Anolis sagrei: one gene and its partners. The protein of the gene in region 1 interacts with the protein of each later gene in a pairwise test. Links are inferred from orthologs where the notes say so. Each region holds a gene or a part of one and is shown on either strand. Other genes may lie near its edges.

Evidence for each region.
Region 2: the proteins of TRIM54 (region 1) and MFAP1 interact in binary tests that used the Homo sapiens proteins (3 or more experiments, as listed by UniProt). The two-hybrid records come from large-scale screens. The link is inferred for Anolis sagrei from reciprocal best matches to the Homo sapiens genes TRIM54 and MFAP1.
Region 3: the proteins of TRIM54 (region 1) and SPG21 interact in binary tests that used the Homo sapiens proteins (3 or more experiments, as listed by UniProt). The two-hybrid records come from large-scale screens. The link is inferred for Anolis sagrei from reciprocal best matches to the Homo sapiens genes TRIM54 and SPG21.
Region 4: the proteins of TRIM54 (region 1) and MYO5B interact in binary tests that used the Homo sapiens proteins (3 or more experiments, as listed by UniProt). The two-hybrid records come from large-scale screens. The link is inferred for Anolis sagrei from reciprocal best matches to the Homo sapiens genes TRIM54 and MYO5B.

The regions. Positions count from the first base shown.
Region 1 is NC_090021.1:828,474-836,692, forward strand, and holds the start of TRIM54 (tripartite motif-containing protein 54), read right to left. Parts: upstream 3,295-8,219; 5' UTR 3,292-3,294; coding exon 2,830-3,291; intron 256-2,829; coding exon 83-255; intron 1-82. UniProt on the Homo sapiens protein: May bind and stabilize microtubules during myotubes formation.
Region 2 is NC_090029.1:22,573,171-22,580,821, forward strand, and holds the start of MFAP1 (microfibrillar-associated protein 1), read right to left. Parts: upstream 3,489-7,651; 5' UTR 3,485-3,488; coding exon 3,058-3,484; intron 1,351-3,057; coding exon 1,001-1,350; intron 1-1,000. UniProt on the Homo sapiens protein: Involved in pre-mRNA splicing as a component of the spliceosome.
Region 3 is NC_090029.1:18,381,437-18,389,490, reverse strand, and holds the start of SPG21 (maspardin), read left to right. Parts: upstream 1-4,615; 5' UTR 4,616-4,756; intron 4,757-4,801; exon of another isoform or gene 4,802-4,928; intron 4,929-7,251; exon of another isoform or gene 7,252-7,358; intron 7,359-7,435; 5' UTR 7,436-7,464; coding exon 7,465-7,527; intron 7,528-8,054. Other genes in the region: CLPX (ATP-dependent Clp protease ATP-binding subunit clpX-like, mitochondrial), read right to left, coding at 896-965. UniProt on the Homo sapiens protein: May play a role as a negative regulatory factor in CD4-dependent T-cell activation.
Region 4 is NC_090022.1:287,337,530-287,345,273, forward strand, and holds the start of MYO5B (unconventional myosin-Vb), read left to right. Parts: upstream 1-4,470; 5' UTR 4,471-4,939; coding exon 4,940-4,966; intron 4,967-7,744. UniProt on the Homo sapiens protein: May be involved in vesicular trafficking via its association with the CART complex. The CART complex is necessary for efficient transferrin receptor recycling but not for EGFR degradation.

The DNA of each region.
Region 1 (8,219 bases):
TAGACACTTGTAAAATAAATAAAGCAAATTGGCATAGCATGAAATCGGACACAGTGGGCAGGACAAATGGCTCGTCTCTTACCGGGCGGACTCCTGCTTGTAGATGTCGATGATGTTCTCGACCAGGAGGTTCCGCTGCAGCCCGTAGACGCCGTGCCGGTCCAGGACCACCTCGTGGCGGCAGGACGGGCACCGGAACCGGCCCCCCGACGACACCGAAGCCGAGCCGCGCGACTGCCACAGCGGGTTCGACGCCTGCCGGGGGAGGAAAGCGGGTCAGAAGGAGCAGGGGAAAAGGGGCTGGCCCTCTGTCGGGAGGGATCGGGTGGAGTCCCTTGCAAGGCTAGTGTAACACTAGGGTTCTAAACAAGGTGCTCCTTGGCAAGACAGGCGGACCAAGAGGGTTGCTGAGCTGCCCCTTGACTAGAGCCCTAGCCTTGGAAGGGACACCACCTGATCCCCCCCAACAGACGGCCATCCACCTGGCCTCTGCTTAGGGGAATCCCTCTCCATGCCAGGAACTGCTGTGCTTGGGGGTATTATGGATCGCACAATATGTAACAATAGGATGCTCTCCTGATGTTTCACCTGCACCTGTGGCTCATGGCATCTTCAAAGGTGACACCACCCGAACCATCCCAACAGACGGCCATCCACCTGGCCTCTGCTTAGGGGACTCCCTCTCCACGCCAGGAACTGCTGTGCTTGGGGGTATTATGGATCGCACGATATGTAACAATAGGATGCTCTCCTGATGTTTCACCTGCACCTGTGGCTCATGGCATCTTCAAAGGTGACACCACCCGATCCCCCCCAACAGACGGCCATCCACCTGGCCTCTGCTTAGGGGACTCCCTCTCCACGCCAGAAACTGCTGTGCTTGGGGGTATTATGGATCACACCATATGTAACAATAGGATTCTCTCCTGATGTTTCGCCTGCACCTGTGGCTCATGGCATCTTCAAAAGTTTGTTGGAAGTGAGGCAAGTGGGGTGTATATCTATTTGTGGAATGATGTTCATGGCAAGAGAAAGAAGCAAGCGTGGATGTTGCAATTAGCCAGCCTGAATAGCACTGAGCAGCCAGGAAGTTGGGAAAGTCAGTCAGTGAGGGTCTTTTCATAGAGTTTGCCTGGGCTTTGATGAACCATAGAATCATAGAAGGGATCCCCCCTTGTGGTGCAGACGGTTAAACCGCTGAGCTGCTGAACATGCTGATCGAAAGGTCACAGCTTTGAATCTGGGGGCTGGGGTGAGCTCCCACTGTTAGCCCCAGCTTCTGCCAGCCTAGCAATTTGAAAACATACAAATGTGAGTCGAACAATAGGTACCGCTCTGGCGAGAAGGTAAGGGCAGTCCTGCCAGTGGCTTTGGAGGTGTCTGCAGACAACGTCGGCTCTTCAGCTTAGAAATGGAGATGAGCACCAGAGTCCCAGAGTCAGGCACGACTGGATTTAATGTTTCGCCTGCATCTTTGGCAAGCATCCTCAGATTGTGCGGGGAGGCTAACTTAACTAATTTACGACTCCATAAAAATCTCCAGCAAGCATGCAAAGAATGAGGAAGTACTCCATCAGTGTCACAAATGGACGGTGAAGCAACAGCTCCCCTGGTGGCCAGAATACCATCATGAAAAAGCTGGAATGTTAAATAGCCTCTGTGTGCCTTGCATACAGAGACCAGCAAAGTGATCTTGTTTACTGTGTACTCGTCTTGTTGTGTTTCAAAAAATAATAAATAGGCCAGATAAAGGTGGAGGGCGTCGATTCAGGGGAGGGCGGGGTCATCATCATCATCATCCTCATCATCATCTTCATTGTATTGTCGAAGGCTTTCATGGCCGGAATCACAAGGTTCTTGTAGGTTTTTTCGGGCTATATGGCCATGTTCTAGAGGCATTCTCTCCTGACGTTTCGCCTGCATCTATGGCAAGCATCCTCAGAGGGAGTGAGGTCTGTTGGAAATAGGACAATGGGTTTATATATCTGTGGAATGGCTGGGGTGGGGCAAGGAGCTCTTCCTTGCTAGAGCTAGGTGTGAATGTTTCACCTTCATTAGCATTTGAAGGTGAAATGCTAATGAGCCTGAGCCTGGGAAAAATCTCCTGCTGAGAGGTGTTAAGCTGTGCCTGGTTGTTTCCTCTCTGCTTCATTAGCATTTGAAGGCCTGCCTGAGCCTGGGAAATCTCCTGTTGAGAGGTGCAGCATACTCCACCACAGACATCAGAAGAGCTGCAAGACCACCGAGAAGAAGCCATGAGAGTCAAGCCACGAGAAACAACCAGGCACATAAAATCACTCTCAACAAAAGGTTCCCCCCAGGCGCTTCCAAGCCATTGAATGCAAATCAAGGTGATCAGCTGAAACATTCCCACCTAGCTCCAGCAGACAAGAGTCCTTTGTCCCACCCTGGACATTATTCCACAGATATATAAACCTATTTTCCTAGTTCCAACAGACCTCACTACCTCTGAGGATGCTTGCCATAGATGCAGGCAAAACGTCAGGAGAAAAATTGCCTCCAGAACATGGCCATATAGCCCAGAAAAACCTACAACAACCCAGTGATTCCAGCCATGAAAGCCTTCGACAATACATTGAACAAGGAAAAGCCTTAAGGCAGGTCTGGGCCAACTTCGGCCTTCCCTCCAGGTGTTTTGGACTCCAACTCCCACCATTCCTAACAGCCGGTAGGCTGTTAGGAATGGTGGGAGTTGGAGTCCAAAACACCTGGAGGGAGGGCCGAAGTTGGCCCAGGCCTGCCTTAAACCCAGTTAAGACCCTAAACATTTGGGGGGTGTTCCCTTGACCACTGACCCCTTGACCGCACCTGGAAGACGTCGTTGGCGCACTTTCGGCAGAGGTTGTGCTGGCAGGGCAAGATGACCACAGGCTTGGAGAACATCTCCAGGCAGATGGGGCAGATGAGCTGCTTCTCCAGGCTGTCCATGCTCTGGCCCGAGGGGCTCCCCCCGGTCAAGGACTTGAAGCCCCCCGGGAAGTTCATCCCAAAGCAGAAGCAGAAGGACGAGAAGGAGGACGAGAAGGGTCTCCCTCCACTCTCCTTCTTCTCCTCTGGCCCTTCTCTGGGGGGTATTTTTAGCCTCCCACGTGACCCCCAAGGCATGCCAGGCTCCCATTCCTGCTCGAGGTCATCCAGGAAGGGTGGGGCACCGAGGGTCCAGCTGTCGGCGGCATCAGGTGGCGCTGAGTCACTCGCCTCAAGGGGAGCGTGACGACGACACCCCTCTGGTGCAGACCCCCACCCACCAATCATCATAATCATCAACATGTGCTTTCTATTAATAGGGCCATGGAATCCTAGGCCTCTCCTCATGGGGATCTAGGCCAACCCTCTGCCATGCAGGAAAAGCACAGTCAAAGCACCCCCAACAGATGGACATCCAGCCTCTGCTGGAAACACCCCAGAGGGGGAGACCTCACTGAACCCCCTTCCCGCCTCTGGCACACAGCACTAACTCTAATAGATTCATAGTCCAGAGGAGGAGTTTTTAGTCCAAGAGTTTTAGAACTCCAATATGCTGATGACAACGTTGTCTCTGCGCATTCAGAAGAAGACCTACAACATCTGTTACAGAATTCCAATATGCTGATGACAATGTAGACTGTCCTCATTCAGAAGATATACAACATCTGTTACAGAATTCCAATATGCTGATGACAATGTAGACTGTCCTCATTCAGAAGATATACAACATCTGTTACAGAATTCCAATATGCTGATGACAATGTTGTCTGTGCTCATTCGGAAGAAGACCTACATCATCTGCTACAGAATTCCAATATGCTGATGAAAATGTAGACTGTGTGCATTCAGAAGATATACAACATCTGTTATAGAACTCCAATATGCTGATGACAATGCAGTCTATGCTTATTCAGAAGAAGACCTACAACATCTGTTATAGAATTCCAATATGCTGATGAAAATGTAGACTGTGTGCATTCAGAAGATATACAACATCTTTTATAGAACTCCAATATGCTGATGATAATGTAGTCTGTGCGCATTCAGAAGACCTACAAAATCTGTTACAGAATTCCAATATGCTGATGACAATGTAGTCTGTGCGCATTCAGAAGAAGACCTACAACATCTGTTATAGAACTGCAATATGCTGATGAAAATGTAGACTGTGCTCATTCGGAAGACCTACAACATATGTTACAGACTTCCAATATGCTGATGACAATGTAGTCTGTGCGCATTCAGAAGAAGACCTACAACAATGATGGGCAACCTTTTGAGCTTGGTGTGTCAATACTTCCAAAAAAAATGAGCATAACTCGAGAAGAAGAAGACCTACAACATCTGTTACAGACTTCCAATATGCTGATGAAAATGTAGACTGTGTGCATTCAGAAGATATACAACATCTGTTATAGAACTCCAATATGCTGATGATAACGTTGTCTGTGCACCTTCAGAAGAAGACCTACAACATCTGTTACAGAATTCCAATATGCTGATGACAATGTAGTCTGTGCTCATTCAGAAGACCTACAACATCTGGCTCATGTTCTCCTTCCTCTCGAGGACTCCCAGATCTTTCCCCACGCACTGCATCATCGTCCTCCATTCTGTCTCTTTGCGTTTCCTTTTTTCTGCTTACGTGGAGTCTCTTGCGTGTGTCCCTGTTGAACTTCACGGTGTTAATTTTGGCCCAACATCTGGAGATCCCTTTGAATTCTGCTCCTGGGGATGGATGCTGGTGGTGGTGATTGTTGTTGTTCATTCGTTCAGTCGTCTCCGACTCTTCGTGACCTCCTGGACCAGCCCACGCCAGAGCTCCCTGTCGGCCGTCACCACCCCCAGCTCCTTCAAGGTCAATCCAGTCACTTCAAGGACGCCATCCACCCACCGTGCCCTTGGTTGGCCCCTCTTCCTTTTTCCTTCCATTTTCCCAAACATCATTGTCTTCTCTAGGTGACCTCCTGGACCAGCCCATGCCAGAGCTCCCTGTCGGCCGTCACCACCCCAGCCCCTTCAAGGTCAAGCCAGTCCCGTCAAGGATGCCATCCATCCATCCATCTTGCCCTTGGTTGGCCCCTCTTCCTTTTTCCTTCCATTTTCCCCAGCATCATTGTCTTCTCTAGGTGACCTCATGGACCACCCCATGCCAGAGCTCCCTGTCGGCCGTCACCACCCCCAGCTCCTTCAAGGTCAATCCTGTCCCTTCAAGGACGCCATCCACCCACTGTGCCCTTGGTCGGCCCCTCTTCCTTTTTCCTTCCATTTTCCCCAGCATCATTGCCTTCTGTAGCTGACTTCATGGACCACCCCATGCCAGAGCTCCCTGTCAGCCGTCACCACCCCCAGCTCCTTCAAGGTCAATCCAGTCACTTCAGGGATGCCATCCCTCCACCTTGCTCTTGGTCGGCCGCTCTTCCCTTTTCTTTCCATTTTCCCCAGCATCATTGTCTTCTCCAAGCTTTCCTTTCTTCTCATGATGAGGCCATCTTGGCCTCTACTATCCTTCCCTCCAATGAGCAGTTGGGCTTTAATGTAATGTTCGTTTGTGGGATTAACAGAACTCAAAAACCACTGGACGAATTGACATCAAATTTAGACACAAGACACCTAATAACCCAATGTATGTCCTTCACTCAAAAAATTGATTTTGTCATTTCGGAGTTGTAGTTGCTGGGATTTATAGTTCACCTACAATCAAAGAGCATTCTGAACTCCATCAATGATGGAATTGAACCAAACTTGGCACACAGAACCCCCATGACCAACTGAAAATACTGGAAGAGTTTGGTGGGCAGTGTCCTTTGGTTTTGGAGTTGTAGTTCACCTACATCCAGAGAGCACTGTGGACTCAAACAGTGATGGATCTGGACCAAACTTGGCACGAATACTCAATATGCCCAAATGTGAGCACTGGTGGAGTTTGGGGAAAATAGACCTTGACATTTGGGAGTTGTAATTGCTGGGATTTATAGTTCACCTACAATCACAGAGCATTCTGAACTCCACCAGCAATGGAATTGAACCAAACTTGGTAGACAGAACTCCCATGACCAAACAGAAAATCCTGGAAGAGTTTGGTTGGCACTGACCTTGAGTTTGGGAGTTGTAGTTCACCTACATCCAGAGAGCACTGTGGACTCAAACAGTGATGGATCTGGACCAAACTTGGCACGAATACTCAATATGTCCAAATGTGAACACTGCCGGAGTTTGGGGAAAATAGACATTGCCATTTGGGAGTTGTAGTTGCTGGGATTTATAGTTCACCTACAATCAAAAAGCATTCTGAACCTCACAAATGATAGAATTGGACCAAACTTCCCACACAGAACCCCCATGACCAACAGAAAATACTGTGTTTTCTGATGGTCTTTGGTGACCCCTCTGACACCCCCAGGTTGAGAAACTCTTGGCATGAAATGCAGGGGGTCCTGAGCACTGCCAGAAACGCAGACGTGGGCTTTGTTGACCAATGTGAATTTTTTTTGGGGGGGGGGGCTGGCCAGCATGGCTTCCTTCATTCCAAAATAGCACCAGCCGCCAAAGTGACCGCAGCACCGAAAAAGGCCGGGCAGCAGGAGAGAGACAACAATAAATAGCCAGAGGATTCTTTCCAGGTGAATGGAGGGGGGGGGGGTCACTTTACCCCTCCCCCTTTCCTCTGTCAGGACACAATGGCCTCCTTGCTTTTCCCCTCACGTCCTGCAGCGTCCAGGGGTCCGGCTGCTGGGCTGTATGGCCATGCTCTAGCAGCATTTTCTCCTGACATTTTGGCTGCACCTCAGGCCCCTTCCTTTTCCCCCTCAGCCGCTTAAGCGGCTGAGGGGGAAAAGGAAAGGGCCTGAGGTGCAGCCAAAATGTCAGGAGAAAATGCTGCTAGAGCATGGCCATACAGCCTGAGGAAAGGGCCTGAGGTGCAGCCAAAATGTCAAGAGAAAATGCTGCTAGAATCATAGAGTTGGAAGAGACCTCGTGGGCCATCCAGTCCAACCTCATTCTGACAAGAAGCAGGAAATTTGCATTTAAAGCACCCCCAACAGATAGCCATCCAGCCTCTGCTTCAAACCCTCCACCACACTCCAGGACAGAGAGTTCCACTGCTGAACAGCTCTCACAGTCAGGAAGTTCTTCCTAATTTTCAGGAGGAATCTCCTTTCCTGTAGTTTGGAAGAACATGGCCATATAGTCCAAAAACCACACAACATATTGTTGTTGTTTGTTTACCCTCCGCTTTTTCTCTCCGCAAAGGAGATTTTTATTATTGTTGTTTATTTATCCCCCACTTTTTCTCTCTGCAAATGAGACTTTTATTGTTGTTTGTTTATTCCCTTTTTCTCTGTATTATTGTTGTTGTTATTTATTCCCTTTTTCTCTCCGCAAAGGACTTTTATTGTTGTTGTTTATTTATCCCCCGTTTTCTCTCTCCACAAAAAAGACTTTTATTGTTGTTGTTGTTATTTATTTCCTTTTTCTCTTTATTATTGTTGTTGTTTTATTCCCCTTTTCTCTCCGCAAAGGAGACTTTTATTATTGTGGGTGTTGTTTATTTATTCCCTTTATTATTGTGGTTGTTTATTTATTCCCTTTTTCTCTTTATTATTGTTGTTGTTTGTTTATCCCCCACTTTTTCTCTCCGTAAAGGAGACTTTTATTATTGTTGTTGTTGTTTATTCCCTTTTTCTCTTTATTATTGTTGTTTTATTCCCTTTTTCTCTCTGCAAATGAGACTTTTATTGTTGTTGTTTATTCCCTTTTTCTCTTTATTATTGTTATTTATTCCCTTTTTCTCTCTGCAAAGGAGACTTTTATTGTTGTGGTTCTTGTTTATTTATTCCTTTTTTCTCTTTATTATTGTTGTTGTTTTATTCCCTTTTTCTCTCTGCAAATGAGACTTTTATTGTTGTTGTTTATTCCCTTTTTCTCTTTATTACTGTTGTTGTTGTTTATTTATCCCCCGCTTTTTCTCTCCGCAAAAGAGACTTTTATTGTTGTTTATTTATTCCATTTTCTCTTTATTATTGTTGTTGTTGTTTATTTATTCCCTGTTTCTCTTTATAATTGTTGTTGTTATTTATCCCCTGCTTTTTCTCTCCGCAAAGGAGACTTTTATTGTTGTTGTTGTTTATTTATGCCCCGCTTTTTCTCTCTGCAAGGGAGGCTTTTATTGTTGTTGTTTATTCATCCCCAACTTTTCTCTGAAAATGAGACTTTTATTGTTATTGTTT
Region 2 (7,651 bases), on another chromosome or scaffold:
TAGAAGACTTAAGGATAATACTCAAAGAAGAATATTTGACTACTGGACTTCACATTTGGTGACTACATTACTCCTCTCTTTGATATAGTGTTTGGGGTATTTTAGATAATTCTTGTAATTGTAATTGATGTGAAGAAATAGATGTATCAATAGTAACTTTGTACACTGACAATTGCTTCTTCCTCTCTTCAACTCCTTCTCACCCTTTTTGTGACATACTTGATATTTGTAACTATTTAACTTACTAACAGTAATTTCCCCACCTCCCCCTTTCTCTCTCTCTCATTATTTTGTTAACCTTTTTCTTTATTTCCTGCTTTCCCCTTCCCCCTTCTTGGACCGAGCTTGGCACACAGAACCTCCATGACCAGTAAAACATACTGGAGTTATTTGAGGAAAATCCACCATGACTTGGGGGAGTTGTAGTTCACCTACATGCAGAGAGCACTGTGAACCCAAACACCAATGGACCAAACTCAGCATACATACCTGATATGCCAAAATTTGATTACTGGAGAGGTTTGGGAGGAACTGACCTTCCTTTCTGGGAGTTGTAGTTCACCCATAACCAGAGAAACTGTGACCTCCATCAATGATGGACCTGGACCAAACTTGGTACACAGAACCCCCATGAGCAACTGAACCTACTGTAGGAGTTTTGAGGGGACTGACTCACCATAGTGGGAATTGTAGTTTACTCTACAGCCAGAGAGCACATTGAACCCTACCAATAATGCATCTAGAGCAAACTTGCCCAACATAACAAACTTGAAGTACTGATGGAGGTTTTCAAGGTTATCCTGGCACAATATGAGTTGCAGCTCATCCACAACCTTATGCATTTTGTACAATTAAAACATTGATTTTTTTAAATAACCTGGGCAAAGCCAGGTACTCAAGTAAGTGTATATGTATGTGTGTGTATACACACTCACACACAAAAGATCAGAGTTTCTTCTGCCAAGAAAGAGCATACAGCACAACCCAAGCTGCCCTGTACCTCGTCATCCACTTCCTCCTCTTCCTCCTCGCTGGTGTCCTCTCGCTCCACATGCCAGTCCTCTCCCTCCACTTCGGAGTCGCTCTCCCCTATCACCTCCGGCTCCACAATCTTTCGGTGCCGCGCCAACCTCTCCTCTACGTCCTCTGAGATGCGGTTCTGGAGGCGGCGCAGGCGGGGGTCGCTGGCCAGCTCCTCCTCCTGCTCCTCGGGCTCTTGCTCCTGCTCCTTGGCCTTCTTGATGAACTGGAATTCCTCCTCCTCCTCATCCGAGGATTCCATGGGCGCATAGTCTGGGCGCTTCCCCGAGACATAGCGCTTCACCTTCACCTTCTCCATGGAGATCTCCCCTGAAGATATGAAGCAGAAAAAGAAAGGGTCACCAAATCATCTATCTATGCAATAAAGGTCAAAATATTTGTATATTTGTTAACATATGTATCAGCATATGTGTTTATCTATTTTTCCACAAACTCAGCACGCATACTTGCACAACCAGCTTAAAATACTGGTGACATTAGGGAGGCACAATAGTGCATGATGGGAACTGAAATCAAGGCCCTTCAGGGGTGCTGCCTGAGCCCCACTCACAACTGAAGGAGGGCATGGGAATTACAGCTGGCCAAACGTGGACCATGTGAGGGTTGCATCCTTCACCTGAACCATTTTAGAAATGATCCCATTATGCAGCAATATGTTTTCTAATGGGTCCATTCATAACAACCAAAACCAAACAAACAACTCTTCCTAATAAATAGGACTACAAAATATCTAACATGGGTACCACCGGGAACATAATAATAATAATAATAATAATAATAATAATAATAATTCTTACCCGCCCCTCCTCACGGCTCAAGGATCCCCTGTCTTTATTATGATTTTAGAGATTTGTAATACTGGTAGCCAGATTTTTTTATTAAATAAAGACTGGGGAGCTCCGGACAAGAAACAATCAGGGACAGCTAATCACCTGGAGCCCCTGGTGGCACAATAATAATAATAATAATAATAATAATAAAGCTTTATTTGTACCCCGCTACCATCTCCCGAAGGAAGAAGCCCCCGGTGGTGCAGTGGGTTAAACCCCTGTGCAGGCAGGACTGAAGACTGACAGGTCACAGGTTTGAATCCGGGGAGAGGCGGATGAGCTCCCTCTATCAGCTCCAGCTCCTCATGCGGGGACATGAGAGAAGCCTCCCACAAGGATGATAAAAACATCAAATCATCCAGGCGTCCCCTGGGCAACGTCCTTGCAGATGGCCAATTCTCTCACACCAGGAGTCACTCCTTACACGACAAAAAAAAATCTCCTGAAGGACTCGGTGCAGCTTACAAGAGGCAATGGGTTAAACCCCTATGCCAGCAGGACTGAAGACCAACAGGTCACAGGTTTGAATGCGGGGACATGAGAGAAGCCTCCCACATGGATGGTAAACCACCAAAACATCTGGGCATCTCCTGGGCAATGTCCTTGCATATGGCCAATTCTCTCACACCAGAAGCGACTTGCAGTTTCGCAAGTCGCTCCTGACATGACAAAAAAGCTAATAATCTCTCAACGAAGGATGCCCCCAGGCAGTAAGAAGCCACACCTTGAAAACTGCTAGGCCATTAAATGCTAATCAAGGTGGCCCATTGGAACATTCACACCTGCTTCAAACAGACAAGCGTTCTTTCTCCCATCCTAGACATTCCACAGATATATAACCCTAGTTTCCAACAGACCTCACAACTTCTGAGGATGCCTGCCATAGATGCAGGCGAAACGTCAGGAGAGAATGCTTCTGGAACATGGCCATGCAGACCAGAAAACTCACAGCACCCCAGTAATTCCGGCCATGAAAGCCTTCGACAACATAGTAACAGCAAAGAATAAGAATAGGAAGGGATTTTTAAAGGTGCTTCAGTCCAACCCCCTTCGGCCAGGACGGAAGACACGATCAAAGCTCTCACGACAGGTGGCCACTCGGCCTCTGTTCAAAGAAGGAGACCAGAAAGGAGGAGGCGCAGAAGAAGCAGGCCTCAGCGGGGCCCGAATATGGCCACGTTCTCACCTTTCTCATTTCGGACGGGGACGGCCCCCGCCGTGGACTGGATGGGCGGCTGCTTCATGAGGGCGCTGCTGGAGCCCGACATGGCGGCGGTAGAGGCCGTAGAAGCGGCAGAGGCAACACTAGGCACGGCGGATCCCTCTCGCTTCGCCTCTCGCGGGGAAACCCGGAACCGGAAGCTTCGTAGGTAAACAAGCCCAGAGGGAGCGCGTGACTTCCGCTCCCAAAGAGGACCAACGAGCGGAGCTGGATAGAGCGACTCATACCGTCTGCGCCCTCTGTCGGCGCGGAAGCGTCTTCCTGGGCCAGACTTCTTCCGGAAAAGGTGGCAGACGGGGATTTCCTCTGAGGCTGAGAGAGTGTAATCCAGGCCTGGACCAACTTGGGCCCTCCAGGTGTTTTGGACTCCACATCCCACAATTCCTAACATCCTCAGGGACCCTCCTTTCCCCTCTCAGCTGCTTAAGAACAGGCCTGGACCAACTTGGGTCCTCCAGGTGCTTTGGACTCCAACTCCCACCATTCCTAACAGCCTCAGGCCCTTTCCTTTTCCTTAAGCGGCTGAGGGGGGAAAGGAAGGGACCTGAGGCTGTTAGGAATGATGGGAGTTGAAGTCCAAAACACCTGGAGGGTTCAAAGAGCCTGAGGCTGTTAGGAATGGTTGAAGTTCAAGTCCAAAACACCTGGAGGGTTCAAAGAGCCTGAGGCTGTTAGGAATGGTGGGTGTTGAAGTCCAAAACACCTGGAGGGCCCAAAGAGCCTGTGGCTGTTAGGAATGGTGGGAGTTGAAGTCCGAAACACCTGAAGGGCTCAAAGAACTTAAAGCTGTTTGGAATTGTGGAACTTGAAGTCCAAAGCACCTGGAGGGCCCAAAGAGCCTGATGCTGTTAGGAATTCTGGGAGTTGAAGTCCAAAACACCTGGAGGGCCTAAAGAGCCTGTGGCTGTTAGGAATTGTGGGAGTTGAAGTCCAAAACACCTGGAGAGCTCAAAGAGCCTGAGGCTGTTAGGAATTGTGGGAGTTAGAGTCCAAAACACCTGGAGGGCCCAAAGAGCGGTTGTTAGGAATTGTGGGAGTTCAAATCCAGAACACCTGGAGGGCCCAAAGAGCTTGAGGCTGTTAGGAATGGTGGGAGTTGGAGTCCAAAACATCTGTAGGGCCCAAAGAGCTTGTGGCTGTTAGGAATGGTGGGAGTTGAAGTCCAAAACACCTGGAGGGTCCAGGTTTGTCCATGCCTGGTGTCATCATTGGAGCAGACGCTAATGATGCAACCCTCTCTTCCCCTTCTTTCATCTTGACAGACGGGAAGTTAACGTTGTTTGTTGTCCTAAAGGGCCTAGAAGGGGAGCTTTGTTTATCTTCTGATAAAGCGTTGTTTATCTTCACTAGGTCCCTCTTTGAGAGCCTCTGTGCAAACAAGGAAACCAAGGGCAGCCTGTGCTTTGATGACATGCTTCGCCTGTTGCCTCTGGCCCTTTGCCTGGGCCTCAGTGGCAAAGGGGCAGAGATGCAGAACAAATGCAGCTGGACACCAGGTCACTTGTTGGACCAATAGAGTCCCAAGAGTTACAGTTTTGCAAGGCCTTCCTGCCATAGCAAGTTATACTGCATCAACTCTACAAGGGAGATGCACCCTCCCATTGCACTCCGCTGTTTAGGCAATTCTGGTCCCACAAACTTGGCTGCTATATTGTCAAGATCAGGAAGACCAGACCAAGGGCAGCGTTCATACTGCAGCTTCCTTGGTTAAGGGAGTCCAGCAGAGATTGTATTATTATCTGAGACTTTTCTTTTTCAGTTTTCAAACGCTAGTAAAGGTAAAGGTTTTCCCTTGACATTAAGTCTAATCGTGTCCAATTCAGGAGTGGTGCTCATCTTTGTAACTCATTACCTGGTGAGATTAGGCAAGCCCCCACTCTAGCAATCTTTAAGAAAGATCTGAAAACCTGGTTCTTCAGTTGTGCCTTTAGAGAGTGACCATTCATCCCATTTCTGTCTGTTCCATCTACAGTGTTGTCCTTATGATGCACTTTCTCCCGTCCTAAATTGAAGGCCTAACCGTACTGTTCGTTCTTTTTGGGCTCCTCTCAAATACACTTTTTCTACTCCTACCTCATTCAAGGTTTTATCATTTTATCTTGTCCATTTGGCCTGCCCATTGTGTTCGATTTTCTATTATGCTATTTTGCTTTGTTTACTTTATTTTGCCACTGTATGTACTTTATTGTGATGTAATTTTTGTTGTTGTATTATGCACTTTATTTTGCTGTATTGTATCTTTAGGCTTGGCCTCATGTTAGCTGCCCTTAGTCCCCTTCGGGGAGATGTGAGGTATAAATAAAGATTATTATTATTATTGTTATTATTATTATTATTATTATTATGCATGGAGCGCCTTTATCTTCGGGTCGAAGCAGTACCTATTCATCTACTCACATTTACATGTTTTCAAACTACTAGGTTGGCAGAAGCTGGGCCTAACAGCAGGAGCTCACTGCTCTCTGGATTCGAACCGCCAACCTTTCAGTCAGCAAATTTAGCAGCTCAGTGGTTTAACCCGCTGTGCCACCAGGAGGCCTTTTTCAAACTTTATTGAATTAAAAAAATGTTTTAACATAAATATATGTTAACACTTGGATTAAGAGGCATTTTTCATATTAATATTATCATTCCTTTTATAAAGCAAAACAAAACTGCAGTAAGTTCTACTTTTCACTTGAACATATGACCCGTTAGATATAGCTGTGTAATTCAATTACTCAGTTTCACTGTGGTGAAAGATGGAAAATTATGAGCAATGTTATATTAGTTTCCAGGGTACAGGATTATGTTTAATTACAACTAGAACATGCATATTAGTTAATATAGATGACTTGCCCATGGCATTTTGTCAGTCAAATTATTTTGTCACACGGATTAAAGAATTGACAAGATAATCTAAAAATAACAGTATCAAACTATAATCCAACCACTTCCTTTAGCCTCATGGTAGAGCCATCCCTGGGTGCTCCCTCATGTGTGGTCATTTATCTGACACTTTTAAGGAACCAACAATTGGATGGAAAACTGCTTTTGACTTTTCTACCACTGCGCTATAGAGAGTGTTCTAACTTATTGCATCTGCATACGGTTTGCCAATTGCACAGCGGGAGATACGAAGGCATTCCAGAGTGTTACTTCTCACTCCTGCCCAGAGTATTATGGGTTTCCCTTTTTCTCTCCTCTTTGGAACAATGTCATACTTCCAGCTGCCTTAAGAAAGCTCAGAATATTCTTAAGGATCCATCTCACCCTGGATATTCTTCTTTTTCGTCTAATTATTATCATCTGAAGAGGTGGGATAGGATGAGCAAAACAAGGACAAATAGGCTGAGAAAGAGGTTTTATCCCAGGGCTGTGATTCTTTTAAATTCTAGGGTTCCACACTGTGGAAGAATGGTGCTTTGTTTTTGTCATCATACACATTTAATGGGTATGGGGGGTGGCATTAAATTTTGTTGTATGATGTACAATGACAATGAAGTCATTTTATTCTATTCTTGACCAGACCCCTGGCCTCATGGCTTCCTCACATCAGGGGCTCCAGGTGCCCAAGGGATGGATCAGAGCTGGCCACAGGAAAAGAACATGGAGTTTTCTCCTTGCACGTTCTCAGAAAGAGCAGGTCGGATCAGAAAGGGGAACAGGGCTGCCTTCTATCCATGTTCAGGTGGCATTGAGGAGATGGGTGGGCAGCACTGACCTGCACTAGTAAGGATTCAGAGAATATCCCTCCTGGAAGTCTTTTGTCAGAGGAGTCATAATGAGAACTGAAACAATAACAGAGAGGTGGACACATTGTCCTCAGGTGCATCACTTTGTGGATTAGGGAAAATGCCAGCGAGATAAGAAGGCCAGGAGAAAGAGGCGTTAAAGGTTGCTGTCTCAGAAGGTCCCAAAGAAAATGACCTAAGTTCCCAGAAGGTGATCTTCCTTGGAATCACTTGGTCCTCCAGTGGGCTGAGTGAAAGGCTGGGGCACTCTCTCAGCCACAAGGGCAAACCTCCTCTGAACAAATCATGCCAAGTAAACCCCATGATGAAGTCTCCATAAGTCAGTGACAACACAAAGGCACCAAACAACAACAACACTCATTGGATCCCATGCGAGTCAATGCTATGTCCAAACATCATGGGAGCCTTGTGAGGACAGCAGGCTGGTCATTTTCCTTGTGTCATCTCCCCTTCCAATCTGGCCATAAAAATGGTCACATGCGTATGTATTCACATTTGTTTGTTTCCCCCTTTTTTTATAGCATTGCCTTCACTTTTTCACTTTCAATTTCCCCTGGACCATTGATTAGCAGACTTGCAGAGCTTTGATGTTGCCATTTCGAAGCTAATTCTCACCTAAACCTTTTTTTCCCTGGCATACATAATTCTGAAAATAGGGCCTGGCCTAGTTTCTAATAAGGTTGGCCCCTTGGAAAGCAAACTTATCTTAGAACCATCTTGCATTTGGGTTAAAGATCAGAATGAGATGTAGGTGTTAGATCTGTGGCTTGGATCTAGAATCAAATGAATTCTTTTTGTTCTAAAACTTTTGCAAGTTTGGAAGA
Region 3 (8,054 bases), on another chromosome or scaffold:
AAGTTCAATGTCTTGTAATGGGGTGGGCGGACTGGGGTCACAATATTAAATAAATAGTTTTAAATAAATAAATAAAAAATAAATATTAGAGGATAGAGCTAATGAGTGAGGTGCAGATAGCATATAGCAGTGATAAATATAAGGACGATTTATCATTAAAGATTTGGATGAGAGATTTTTGTACATTAATAAATGGAGATTTTTGTACATTAAAAAATAAAGACGTCCCCTAAAAATAATGTATCTTTTGGAGCAAAAATGAATATAATACCCAGCCTTATTTTCATGGAAGAGGCACGGAAGCTGGCAATATTGGTTCATCTGGGAGAACAATATATATATATATATATATATATATATATATATATAATACTAATATAATGCTCAATCAACTACCAAACTCACACATTTTGTATTTTCTCTGTTTGTTTGCTTTGTTCTGTTAGAAATGTAATATAATTGACTGGTTGCCCTGACACGAGAAATAAATTAAATTAAATATAATGCTATGGTTATAATATATTATATTATATATACATATACTATTGATAATATTATAAAATAACAGAATATAAGACTAATAATAATACAGTACAATATATAATAATAGTCATATAACAATACCAATATATTAAATGCAACACTGCTGATAATATATATAATGATAATATTGTGTTATTATTGCAATGTTATTGATTGGGAACCGCTTTAAGCCTCCGTAGGGAGAGATAAAGCAGAATATAAATCAATCAATCAATCATCAGATCCATAACATGGAAGTTAACACAGGGTTAACACAGGGCTGTTAAAAACCTAAACAAGGGCCTTGAAAAGCTCGAAACCAGGAGTGAGGCCTAGCGCGCGGCTGAAGCCTCGGTCTCCGTTAGGGAGTTACCTCTTCGCGCCGAAGGGAGGGACGCGCTGAGGAGCCGTGCCGCCGCCGCGCAGGAACCGCAGGCCGCCATCTTGGCGCCGTCGTTCTTCCCACCTCAGAAGACCGAGACCCGGATGTAGCGTCACAGCCTCCGCGAAGAACGGCGGTGGGACCACAACTCCCGGCAGCCCCCGCGCCGAAGAGGCCGCGCTGATCAACCTCGAAGCGTACGATTTGCCTTCTGGGAAGGAGAGGCCAATGCACGAGAGGCGTGTGCGCAGGCGCAACTCACTATCTAGGAAGTCAGAGCTCTTCTTACGCGTTTCCCCTCTAGGTGGCGGGCCATCCTAGGGTCTATCTATTTTCCTATCTATCTATCAGTGCGATGCTACTCTGCTGCTGAGTATGCATGCTCAGTGTGGAACACATCTCACCACACTAAAACAGTAGATGTGGCTCTTAATGAGACATGCCGCATTATCATGGGATGTCTGCGCCCTACACCACTGGAGAAATTAGACTGCTTAGCCGGTATTGCACCACCTGACATCCGCCGGGAAGTAGCAGCCAATAGTGAAAGGACCAAGGCAGAGACATCTCCAGCTCATCCCCTGTTTGGGTATCAGCCAGCACGTCAACGACTTAAATCTAGAAATAGTTTTCTAAGATCTACAGAGACACTCGCTGGAACACCCCAGCAAGCGAGAGTCCAAAAGTGGCAGGCCCAAACCCAGCACCTCATTTCATGGGTGATACCAGATGAGAGACTCCCCCCTGGGCACACAGAGGACATGGCGACTTGGAAGGCGCTGAACAGACTGCGCTCTGGCACCACGAGATGCAGAGCCAATCTTAAGAAATGGGGCTACAGGGTGGAATCCTCGGCATGCGAGTGCGGAGAAGAACAAACTACTGACCACCTGCTGCAATGCACCCTGAGCCCTGGCACATGCACAATGGAGGACCTTCTTGCGGCAACACCAGAGGCACTCCAAGTGGCCAGATACTGGTCAAAGGACATTTAAACAACTACCAAATTTGCAAAATCTGTGTGGTTTTTTTCCTTTTTTCCCCTTTTCTTTTTAATCTCTGTGTTTGTTTTGCTCTGTTAGAATTGTAATACAATGGTTGCTGATGACACGATAAATAAATAAATATCAGTGCTTCTCAACCTGGGGTCCCCAGATGTTTTTGGCCTACAACTCCCAGAAATCCTAGCCGGTTTACCAGCTGTTGGGATTTCTGGGAGTTGAAGGCCAAAAACATCTGGGGACCCCAGGCTGAGAAGCACTGACTGATCATGGAACAACAGGCTGGTTCAATGTTGGGAAAGGCATATAGCGAGGTTGTATACACTCCCCCAACATATTTAACTTGCATGCAGAACACATCATGCGACCTGTGGGGCTTGACGAATGCAAGGCTGGGGTGAAAATTGCTGGAAGAAACATTAACAACCTCAGATATGCAGATGACACCACTCTGATGGCCGAAAGCAAGGAGGAGCTGAGGAGCCTTCTAATCAAGGTGAAAGAAGAAAGCGCAAAAGCTGGGTTGCAGCTCAACATAAAAAAGCCCCAAGATTATGGCAACAAGAATGATTGACAATTGGGAAATAGAGGGAGAAAACGTGGAGGCCGTGACAGACTTCATATTTCTAGGTGCAAAGATTACTGCAGACACAGACGGCAGCCAGGAAATCAGGTGACACTTACTTCTTGGGAGGAGAGCAATGTTCAATCTCGATAAAATAGTGAAGAGTTGAGACATTACACTGGCAACGAAGATCCACAGAGTTAAAGCAATGGTATTCCCCGTAGACACCTACAGATGTGAGAGCTGGATCTTAGGGAAGGCAGAGCGAAGGAAGAGAGATGCTTTCAAACTGTGGTGCTGGAGGAAAGTTCTGAGAGTGCCTTGGACTGCGAGAAGATCCAACCAGTCCATCCTCCAGGAAATAAAGCCCGACTACTCATTGGAGGGAAGGATAGTACAGACAAAGTTGAAGGACTTTAGCCACATTATGAGAAGAAAGGAAGGCTTTAGAGAAGACAATAATGCTGGGGAAAATGGAAGGAAAAGGGAAGAGGGGCCGACCAAGGGCAAGATGGATGGATGGGATCTTTGACATGACTGGATTGACCTTGAAGGAGCTGGGGGTGGTGACGGCTAACAGTGAGCTCTGGCATGGGCTGGTCCATGAGGTCACGAAGAGTCGGAAACCACTGAACGAATGAACAACATTTATTTCATAAAATTGATTTGGATTGCTTGGGGGCCCTCCCAACTCGAGGAATATCTATCTATTTGATTATTTATCTATTCTGCCTATCTTCCCATCTTATCTATCAGCTATTATAGGATGGACTGGATGGTCTTTGATGTGTCTTCCAACGCTAGGAATCTAGAGTTGTGCTATGCTAATAATATAATATATATAGATATAATCTTGATAATATTTTTTATTTATTTATCATATTAGGAGCAAACCATGGGTACAGTTGCAATGCATTTAAAAAACAAGTTTTTTTAAAAAAAAAACTTGGCATATTAAATGTTCTTTGACCAGTAGCTGGCCACTTGGAGTGCCTCTGATGTTCCTGCAAGAAGATTCTCCATTGTGCATGTGGCAGGGTTTCTGTGGTTTGCTCTTCTCCACACTCGCATGTTGTGGACTCCAGTTTGTGGCCCTATTTCTTAAGGTTGGCCCTGCATCTCGTGGTGCCAGAGTGCAGTCTGTTCAACGACTTTCAGCTCGGTTGTTGTGGTTTTTTTCCGGCTATATGGCCTTGTTCTAGAGGCATTCTCTCCTGACGTTTCGCCTGCATCTATGGCAAGCATCCTCAGAGGTAGCCACCTCACCTCACTACCTCTGAGGATGCTTGCCCTAGACACAGGCGAAACGTCAGGAGAGAATGCCTCTAGAACAGGGGTCCCCAAACCTTTTAAACAGAGGGCCAGGTCACAGTCCCTCAAACTGTTGGAGGGCCAGATTATAATTTGAAAAAAAAAACATGAATGAATGCACACTGCACATATCTTAATTGTAGTGCAAAAATACTTTAAAATGAAGAACAAATATTAACTTATTAGTATTTCAATGGGAAGGGTGGGCCTGCTTTTGGATGATGAGATAGGATTGTTGTTGTTGTGTGCTTTCAAGTCGTTTCAGACTTAGGTTGACCCAGAGCGAGGGCCGGGTAAATGACCTTGGAGGGCCGGATCCGGCCCCCGGGCCTTAGTTTGAGGACCCCTGCTCTAGAACATGGCCATATAGCCTGAAAAAACCTACAATCCAGTGATTCCAGCCACGAAAGTCTTCAACAACAGACTTTCAGCTCGTCCACTCTTCTGTGAGCTCAGGGGGGAGTTTCCTCATTTGGTATCAGCCATGGATTGAGGTTCCAGGCTTTAGCCTGCCACTTTTGGACTCTCGCTTACTGAGATGTTCCTGTGAGTATCTCTGTACATCTTTGTACTATTTCTTGATTTAAGGCGTTGGAGTGCTGGACTGGGAATGTCACTGCGTCAGGAGAGAATGTTTCTGGAACATGGCCAGAGAGTCCAGAAAACTCACAACAACCCAGCTTCTGCTGGTGGTGAAATCCCCTTTAAACTTCAAGGCTTTGTGCGCATGCGTGGCTGGAGCCTCCACGTGATTCTTCCCTGCGTCCCCTTCCCGCCCCTTTATGGGGAGCCCCGCCCACTCGGCTTTGTGACGTCCGCTGATTGGCTGGCGCCGCACACCTTTCGTCTCCGCCTACTTGGAGAGACCAGGAAGTAGGGACTGGAAGATACCATTCGAGCGGGAAAAGGGGAGGGACGGTGTGTTTGTTAAGGTGGTTTCGTCCACCCGCCCGTCTCGAAACGGAGGAAAACCTGGTAAGGATTGAAAAAGAGAGGAAGGGAGTGCCTTTGTTCAGGTTTTTAGGCAGTGGGTAAGCGAGAGACCCCAAATCATGCCTTTGGGGGAGCCTAAAGAAGAATGGTAGATCCCAGCTTGCCTCCCTTAGAGGAATGGCATGCCCCTGATAGGGAAGCTGGGCTGAGTCAGGTGCCTTGTTTGTTTGTTTGTCTGTCCCTGATCTTCACCTTCTTCCTGTTGGTTGTCATTATTTGCATTATGCATTTCATAAAATACATCATGTGTATATATATTCTGTAGGTTGTATGGATTTTTGCATATATTTTTATTGATCTTGAGTTATATGAAACCTGGAACTTAGGTATATTTCAGTGATGCTAATGATTGATATAGTATTTTAATGGGGTATTTCCCCCTGCATTTTATAATCTGGTTTCTGTGTACCTTTTATGTATTATATATTATACAATATAGTACAATATATTATATCATAATATAATATAATAATTGTATATTACATATTGCATGTAATATTACTAATAAGGTTGTACAATTATTGGTAATATTACAATATAATAATATATTGTACTAATATTGTGGTATGCTAATCCTCACTTTGAGACACTTTGAGAGTGTTTGAGGACCGGGACATCCGTAGGGATACCAAGGTGTTTGTTTATAAAGCTATTGTCCTCCCAACTCTGCTATACGCCTGCGAGACGTGGACTGTCTACAGATGTTACACGCAACTCCTAGAATGATTCAACCAGCATTGCCTCCAAAAAATCCTGCAAATCTCTTGGGAAGACAAGCGGACAAATGTCAGCGTGCTAGAAGAAGCAAAGACCACCAGCATTGAAGCGATGGTCCTCTGCCATTAACTCTGCTGGACTGGCCACGTTGTCCGGATGCCCGGCCACCTTCTCCCAAAGCAGTTGGTCTACTCTCAAGAATGGAAAACGAAATGTTGGAGGACAGGAAAAGAGATTTAAAGATGGGCTCAAAGCCAACCTTGAAAACTCTGGCATAGACACTGAGAACTGGGAAGCCCTGGCACTTGAGCTCTCCAGCTGGAGGTCAGCTGTGACTAGCAGTGCTGTAGAATTTGAAGAGGCACGAACGGAGGGTGAAAGAGAGAAACATGCCAAGAGGAAGGCGTATCAGGCCAACCCCGACTGGGACCGCCTTCCACTTGGAAACCAATGCCCTCACTGTGGGAGAACATGCAGAGCAAGAATAGGGCTCCACAGTCACCTACAGACCCATCGCTAGGACACCAATCTTGGAAGACAATCCTACTCGGATAACAAGAGATCGCCTAAGTAAGTAAATATGCTAATAATGCATAATGGTGTAACATTAGAAACTGTTGACCATTTCTGTTCCCTTGGCAGCCACCTCTCCATAAAAGTCAACATTGACACTGCTATACAGCACCACCTGAGCTCTGTGAGTACAGCATTCTTCCAAATAAAGCAGGTGCTTGTTTATAAAGCTATACGCCTGCAAAACGACTGTCTACAGACGCCACACTTACTTAGGCGATCGCTTGTAGCCCGAGGATGATGGTTCTCCAAGTGTAGTGTCTTGCCGGTGAGTCCGTAGGTGGCTGTTGAGCCCTATTCATGATCCGCATGTTTTCCCATAGTGAGGACATCAGTTTCTGTGTGGAAGGCGGTCCCGGTCAGGGGCCGCCTCTTGGCAGATTTCTCCCTTTCATCATTCATTCGTGCCTCTTCGAATTCTGCAGCACTGCTGGTTGCAGCTGATCTACAATTAGAGCGCTCAAGGACCAGGGCTTCCCAATTCTTGGTGTCTATGCCACAGTTTATAAAGTTGTCTTTAAGCCCATCTTTCAATCTCTTTTCCTGTCCACCAACTTTATGTTTCCCATTCTTGAGTTGGGAGTAGAATAACTGCTTTGGGAGACGGTGATTGTGCATTCGGACAATATGGCACTAAGTCCGGTGGAGTTGATGGCGTAGGAGTATCACTTCAGTGCTGGTGGTCTTTGCTTCTTCCAGCATGCTGATATTTGTCCACCTGTCTTCCCAAGCGATTTGGAGGCAACACTGATGGAATCGTTCCAGGAGTAGAAAGTGATGCCTGTAGACAGTCCACGTTTCGTAGGCATATAGCATATAGCGTATTTTGTTCCATAGTGTTATTGCAAATGGAAAGAGACCATGAGACGCTCACCGCTTTGGTAGTGAGATATACAGTTTTCTTGGGGACTTTGCAAAGAATGTAAATAATGTCCCATAATCCTGAAGTGGAGCCTTTGGGCTGGATTGTCAAGGATCCAAACCCTTTACTTTGTCTCCCATTTTTTGTGCAGCTTTCTTCAAGTGGAATTGTACAAGGCGCACAGCTGCAGTTTGCCTTATATATAATGTAATGCATGACTGGTTTCATAGGAATTGTTTGCCCTGCCAGTGTATTTCTTGCTTTCTGTTCTTCCTGCCACTTTGTACGTAACAGACACAAACGCCGTGTTTTCAAAATCACTTCCCCTTTCTAAACATTTCTCTCAAACCGAGCCAAAGGAGCACAGTTCGAAAGAGAAGATTAATCCACTGCTCAGAGCGGCGAGCAAGCTTTGCCTTGAATGAATCCATTGTACGTCTGAGTACCTTTTGTGTTTTTAGCTGAAACGCATGTTCTTTTAGACAGAAACGTCTCCCTTTATGTTTCAGGTGTTCCTCACTGTGGGCTCGCGACCATCATGGGAGAGATTAAAATCTCTCCGGACTATAACTGGTTCAGAAGTACGGTTCCTCTCAAAAAGGTAAGTTCAACCTCTAAATATAGGCTACATCAGGTCAATAGATGCAAGGAAGCTTCTGGCTGGGTGGAGTGGCCATCTAGTTGGGTGGAGTGGCCCAGATCAAGAAATAAAATGCCCCAGGGCAGCAGAACAGAGGCCACTTTGAGTTTCCTTTGGGGAGATAAAGCGGAGAATAATAATAATAATAATAATAATAATTATTATTATTATTATTATTATTATGATATCTCGGACTTGGCAATGTTTACATGGCCTAAAGAAGTGGAGCTTCTAGGATTTTTAGTATAATGTTTTAAGTATAACCTTAGTGGCCTGAGGCCAGGGAATTTTAATAGTACATTAAATATAATATAATATAGTATAATATATTGTATAAACATATAATATTGATGTATATACAATATATATATATATATATATATATATATACACACACACACACACACACACACACACATAAATATTATATGTATATATATATTGTATATACATCAATATTATATATTAGGCTTGGGCAATCCATGGTT
Region 4 (7,744 bases), on another chromosome or scaffold:
GTGTGCCAAGTTTGGTTCAATTCCATTGTTGATGGAGTTCAGAATGCTCTTTGATTATAAGTTAACTATAAATCCCAGCAACCACAACTCCCAAATAACAATATCAATCCCTCCCTCCAACCTCACCAGTATTGAAATTTGGATGTATCGGGTATTTGTGCCAAGTTTGGTCCAGTGAATGAAAATACAACCTGCATATCAAATATTTACATTAAAATTCATAACAACAGCAAAATTACAATTCTGAAGTAGCAATGAAAATAATTTTATGTTTGGGGACTACCACAATTTTAGGAACTATATTAAAGGCCCATGATATTAGGAAGGTTGAGGACCACTGGTCTGGTCCTACAAAGACACACTAACTTCACACAGTTGAAGTTAGGAAACATATAAACTTGTATCATTGCATCAAAAATGAATCCTACAGAGTAACAAACTTACATATTTATTTATTTTGCATATTTGTATCCTATCCTCACTCTCGAGGGGGGAGTCCGGGCAGCTTCACAACAGGCAGCCATTCAATGCCATCACTCTAACTTACAAAAAAAGAGTTATAATTAAAATAATTTGTTAAAAACAATTATTGACACATTTATTTAAAATCACACAAGTACAACATCACAATCCAGGTCAATCATAATCAAGGTCATAGTCCTTGTATCCATCACAAAACACAGCATGGCTTCTCCAACTCCCAAAATAGAGAGCCAACATGTATCCTAAAATACACCCAGTTATACTCTTACCGGGTGTGGTCCAAACCTCCTGACCTTAATTAGCACCTGCATACAGTGATCACCAGCATGAGGAAGAAACCAGGCACAGATTAACAACTCCCAGCAACAGATTTTCCCAGACTCAGGCAGGCCTTCAAATGCTAATGAAGGTGATTAGCTAACATTCACACCTAACTGCAGCAGGGAAGAGCTCCCTGCCCCACCCCAACCATTCCACAGATATATAAACCCATTGTACTAATTGCAACCAGACCCTCTGAGGATGCTTGCCATAGATGCAGGCGAAACGTCAGGAGAAATGCCTCTAGAACATGGCCATATAGCCCGAAAAAACCCACAAGAACTGAATGAGTTTTTTTCCTTAACACATATATCTATTCCAACCTTGGTACTGATCCTTTCAAAACTCACCCCGTTTTCAGTATACCTTAATATGTTCTAATCAATTTTTTTTAGACTGTTGGTGTGCTACCAATGTTCATGCTTCCATCCTCAGAGTCTAATCCATGTTTTTGTTTGAAATGTTCAGCATAGAAGTTAAACAGATAGGCCGATAGGTCTATTAATGGCTATTAAGTATGATTGCATAATGAACCTCTATATTTAAAGACACTGTACCTCTCAAGTGAGAAGCATGACTCAAAGGCAAGCTTGTTGGAGACCTCCTGGTGACCAATGTTGGAAGCATGATGCTTGGTTAGATGGAATTTTGGTCTAATCCATTTTGTTATATTTTAGGCGGCTTTTCCTAACATAGGTTGAGCTACCATACCAACCTGCTACATTCTGGGTTGTCAGTGGGCCTACTGAGTAAGAGATGATGGAAACTAGCCCAGCACAAATACTAGCCAGATTTCCAAATATTGTTCAATGTCAGGATTACTGAAGGTATGCATGTATGGTTTTTAAATGTGTTTCTATATGATTAAGAATGGTGTTAATATGTATTCAAGATGGATTCTGTTATGTTCAATTATGTGTTGGAATTGTTGTTGTAAGAGACAGAGAGGTACAGAGAGAAGAGACCTTGACAGAAGTTAGATAACATGTTTCTCTGCTGGGAAGAAAAAGGGAGTTTCCAGCTTACAGCCAGAGAGCCTGATAAGCAGATGTTCCGAGACTGTACTGAAGCTGTGCTTTGTAGTTCCTGATTTTGCCCGCTTAGATGTAGACGTGTATTGAAATGTACTTAGCAAACTTTGTTATTTTAAAACTGGAAAACTGCAGAGTCCTGGAATTTTTGGAGTCCTGTGTCTGTTTGATCTAGCACCTCTTCCGCTGCGCATACACCCCCCAAATTTTAACTCTGATAGTTCAGAGGCATCATGATGAACAGGGGCAGTTTTGTGCCTAGGTGTAACGTCCTGTAGTTGATGGTAGTTGGCGTCATGCATAGCAGTTGGTGATGGGTAAAAGAAGATGATGACTGCTGCAAAGGGATAGAAGGGGTTAATCTCAGTCCTGCGTTCTAAAGGTCAGAGTAATCTATCTGTAAGAACTCACAAGCGGCTGAAATCCAAACAGCTGGTAAAATGCAACTTAAGAAGGCACCTTCAGAACCTCTATTGTTTGTAACTTGGGGACTGCCTGGGTAAGTAGCAACACTGATCCCTGGTTAAGTCGACCCACTCCCCCTGAAGACGCAGGTTCGCAGCTTGGGTGTGATCTTGGACTCATCGCTGAGCCTGGAACCCCAGGTTTCAGCGGTGACGAGGGGAGCATTCGCACAGTTAAAACTAGTGCGCCAGCTGCGCCTGTACCTTAGGAAGCCTGACTTGGCCACGGTAGTCCATGCTCTAGTCACATCCCGTTTAGACTACTGCAACGCTCTCTACGTGGGGTTGCCTCTGAAGACTGCTTGGAAGCTTCAAATGGTCCAACGATCAGCAGCCAGGATGCTAACAGGAGCGGCACTCAGGGAGCACACCACTCCACTGCTTCGCCAGCTCCACTGGCTGCCAATTTGCTACTGGGCACAATTCAAAGTGCTGGCTTTAGCCTTTAAAGCCCTAAACGGTTCTGGCCCGACCTACGTGTCTGAATGCGTCTCCTCCTATGAACCAGTTAGGACATTAAGATCGTCTGGGGAGGCCCTGCTCTCGATCCCGCCGGCTTCACAAGCATGCCTGGCGGGGATGAGAGACAGGGCCTTCTCAGTGGTGGCCCCTCGGCTATGGAACGCCCTTCCTGCAGATATTAGATCGACCCCCTCCTTGCTGGCATTACGGAGGAAAGTAAAGACCTGGCTGTTTGAACAGGCATTCGACTAAGCAGTGTGATTGATTGACTATCGGAACACGGAATATCGGATAACGGGTTTGGATTCTGATTTCATTGATGAGACCTGATGGATTTGTTATATTGATGTAGTGATATATTGATGCTTAATGATTTGTGATGCTATTGCTTTTAAATGCTTAATGATTTTGTATTGTGTATACCTAAATTGTTGTAAACCGCTCTGAGTCGCCTAAGGGCTGAGAAGAGCGGTATACAAATAAAGTAAATAAATAAATAAATAAATTTTGGGCCATTCTGAAAGGACAATTTCTGGAGACACATACAGGGATTTCTTTGCTGCCTCCAGGTGTTGCTTGCCTCCTTTGCAATTCCTCCAGGGAGGGATCCTATTGGCTGTTCATTCGTTCAGTCGTCTCCGACTCTTTGTGACCTCATGGACCAGCCCACGGCAGAGCTCCCTGTCGGCCGTCACCACCCCCAGCTCCTTCAAGGTCAGTCCAGTCACTTCAAGGATGCCATCCATCCATCTTGCTCTTGGTCGGCCCCTCTTCCTTTTCCCTTCCACTTTCCCCAGCATAATTGTCTTCTCTAGGCTTTGCTGTCTCCTCATGATGTGGCCAAAGTACTTCAACTTTGTCTCTAGTATCCTTCCCTCCAGTGAGCAGTCGGGCTTTATTTCCTGGAGGATGGACTGGTTGGATCTTCTCGCAGTCCAAGGCACTCTCAGCACTTTCCTCCAACACCACAGCTCAAAAGCATCGATCTTCCTTCGCTCAGCCTTCCCTAAGGTCCAGCTCTCACATCCGTAGGTGACTACAGGGAATACCATGGCTTTGACTAGGCGGGTCTTTGTTGCCAGTCTGATGTCTCTACTCTTCACTATTTTATCGAGATTGGACATTGCTCTCCTCCCAAGAAGTAAGCGTCTTCTGATTTCCTGGCCACAGTCTGCATCTGCAGTCATCTTTGCACCTAGAAATACAAAGTCTGTCACGGCCTCCACATTTTCTCCCTCTATTTTCCAGTTGTCAATCATTCTTGTTGCCATAATCTTGTTTTTTTTTTTTTGATGTTTAGCTGCAACCCGGCTTTTGCGCTTTCTTCTTTCACCTTGATTAGAAGGCTCCTCAGCTCCTCCTCGCTTTCGGCCATCAGAGTGATGTCATCTGCATATCTGAGATTGTTAATGTTTCTTCCAGCAATTTTCACCCCAGCTTTGCATTCATCCAGCCCCACACATCGCATGATGTGTTCTGCATACAAGTTAAAAAGGTTGGGTGAGAGGATGCAGCCTTGCCAGACGCCTTTCCCAATCTTGAACCAGTCTGTTGTTCCGTGGTCAGTTCAGTCCTATTGGCTACAGCCCAAAAAGTATATATAATTTCTCCAAACTTGGAATTTGCTGCGGGGTTCCCTTTGGAGGGAAGGAGAGAGGGAGGGAAGTTTCCTCGTCCAGCAGAGGGCGAAGCCAGCCTTGCTTCCTTCCTCCCTTCCTTCCTGAAGCCAAAGGCAGCCGGTGCGCCAAAGGAGCCGAGGCACCTGCAAAGCCCGGCAAACCAGGCGGGGAGGGAGCGCCCCATTGCGCACGCTTGCTTCCCTACCTGCCTTCCCTTTTACCTGGCGAGGGAGCGGCCAGGCAGCCCCGCCCCGTCCCTCCCCCTTCCGCTTCTCCCTCCCTTTGCCTTTCGTCCAGTAAGTTTTCCCCGGGAGACGGGCAAAGGTCGGGCGCTTCCCTCCGGCTTTGCACCGCCCGGCTCTCTCCTCTCCTCTCTCTTTTCCTCTCCTCTCCTCTGCCCAAGCGCCGCACTTCCTGGGCTCTTCCTCCTCCTCCTCCTCCTCCTTCTCCCGGGCCGGACTTTGGATTGTACCGAAGGGCTTTTCCTCCTCTTTTTGGGGCGCCTTTTTTGGATGCTTCGAGGACTGGGCTCGCCTTGCGCACCGCCCGCCAGGAGGACATGTCGGTGGCGGAGCTCTACACCAAGGTAAGGCCAAGGCCAGGCGTTTGGGGGATAGATACGTGTAGGGCAGCCTTTCCCCTTCCCATTCCCCCCCTCTGTGGGTTTCCCAGGGCTATTTGGGGGGCCTGGGAGCCCTTCTTTCCATGCCCCCCCTCCCCTTCCCGGCACCGCCGCAGATGGAGTTCCCTCCACTCTCCACTACTTTCTTTCTCTGCGCCTCACTTTTACGCTTTGCTTTGGACTTCAAGACAAGGTGCATCCACACTGTAGGGTTAATGCAGTTTGGCACCACTTGAACTCCCATGCCTCGAGACAGTGGGAGCCTGGGAGCTGCAGTTTTACAAGGTCTTCTCTGCCAAAGAGTGCAAGTGCCCCCCTAACTAAACTGCAACCTCCAGGATCCCCATAACATTCAGCCTTTCTCTGCTCAAGAGTGCAGGTGCTTCACTGACTGAACTCCAGGATCCCATAACAGGGAAAGAGGTGCCAAACTCCATTCATTCTGCAGTGTAGATGTGCTCCCAGTGTTCGTGAGGATCTCCGGATTCCTTTCAATGGGGATACAGAGTGAGGATCCCTTATCTGAAATGTTTAGAGCCAGAAGTGTCTTGGATTTTGGGATATTTTCATATCTATATAAATAAAAATGTAATGTTTGTTTGTGGGATTAGCAGAACTCAAAAACCGCTGGGCGAATTCACACCAAATTTGGACACAAGACACCTAACAACCCAATGTATGTCCTTCACTCAAAAAAAATTGATTTTGTCATTTGGGAGTTGTAGTTGCTGGGAATTATAGTTCACCTACAATCAAAGAGCATTCTGAACCCCAGCAACGATGGAATTGAACCAAACTTGGCACACAGTTCTCCCATTACAAACAGAAAATACTGGAAGGGTTTGGTGGGCAGTGTCCTTTGGTTTTGGAGTTGTAGTTCACCTAGATCCAGAGAACACTGTGGACTCAAACAGTGATGGATCTGGACCAAACTAGGCACGAATACTCAATATGCCCAAATGTGAACACTGGCAGAGTTTGGGGAAAATAGAATCTTGAGATTTGGGAGTTGTAGTTGCTGGGATTTGTAGTTCACCAACAATCACAGAGTATTCTGAACCCCACCAATGATAGAATTGGGCCTAACCTCCCACACAGAATCCCCATGACCACCAGAGTGGGCCACAGCAACGCGTGGCAGGGGACGGCTAGTATATAAATAAAAATGTAATGTATGTTTGTGGGATTAACATAACTCAAAAACCACTGGACGAATTGCCGCCAAATTTGGCCACAAGACACCTACTAACCCAAGGAGTGACCATCACTCAAAAATTGATTTTGTCATTTGGGAGTTGTAGTTTATTTATTTATTTACGACATTTATATGACGGCCTTCTCACCCCGAAGGGGACTCAGAGTGGCTTACAAGTAAAAAGTAAATACAATATATTATTATCATAGCACTATATTAATATTATATATTACATTGTGCTATAACATTATCCTGTAATATTATTAGTAATATTTATCGCAGAATAGTTGCGATGATTTATAGTTTACTTAAACAGTATTTCTTAAAATCAAAGAGCATTCTGAACTCCACCAAAGATGGAATTGAACCAAACTTGGCACACAGGACTCCCAGGACCAACAAAAACACTAGCAGGGTTTGGTGGACATTGACCTTGAGTTTGAGAGTGGTAGTTCACCCCTACATTCAGAGAGCACTGTGGACTCAAACAATGATGGATCTGCACCAAACTTGGCACGAATATTCCATATGCCCAAATATGAACACAGATGGAGTTTGGGAGAAATAGACTTTAACATTTAGGAGTTGTAGTTACTGGGATTTATAGTTCACCTACAATCAAAGAGCCCTCTTCACCAGGGCAAGAAAACGTAATCAAAGCCCTCCTGACAAAGAGCCACCCAGCCATAGATATAGATAGATATATATGATTCACACACAGGGAGATATAGTATCATAGATTTGAAAGGGACCCTAAAGAAAGACAATTATGTTGCATGTTCCAGAGTAGGCAAACCAGATACTCTCCACATCAACACTGACAAAGAAACAGGAAGAAATACTGTTTACCCACAAGCAGAAAGAAATTACATATATTAGAAACCAACACTTTCGAATTACTTTATTTTCCAGATCACCAGACTGGGCCACAGCAATGCGTGGCAGGGGACGGCTAGTCTATATAAATAAAAAGGTAATATTGGTTGATGGGATCAATATAACTCAAAAACCACTGGACAAATTGACACCAAATTTGGGCACAATACACATATCAGGGCAATGAGTGACCATCACTCATAAAAATACAGGAAAACACAGTAAAAGGGACTAAAAAAGCCAAAAAAAGCAAAAAGAAGCTACAGTGCATGTACAAAATGACTCCCCCTGGCAAACAAACACACAATAGCATATCCACATTCTCTTCTGGACTACAGTTCCCAGCATCTCCTAGACCAGGCCATTTAGGAGAGGAGGAGGATCCAAATGCCCTTTACATTTTTATTTATATACTAGCCGTCCCCTGCCACGTGTTGCTGTGGCCCACATGGGGGTTCTGTGTGGGAGGTTTGGCCCAATTCTATCACTGGTCAGGTTCAGAATGCTCTGTGATTGTAGGTGAACTATAAATCCCAGCAACTACAACTCCCAAATGTCAATGTCTATCTTCCCCAAACTCCACCAGTGTTCACATTTGGGCACATTGAGTATTCGTGTAGAGTTTGGTCCAGATCCATCATTGTTTGAGTGCTATCTGGATGTAGGTGAAC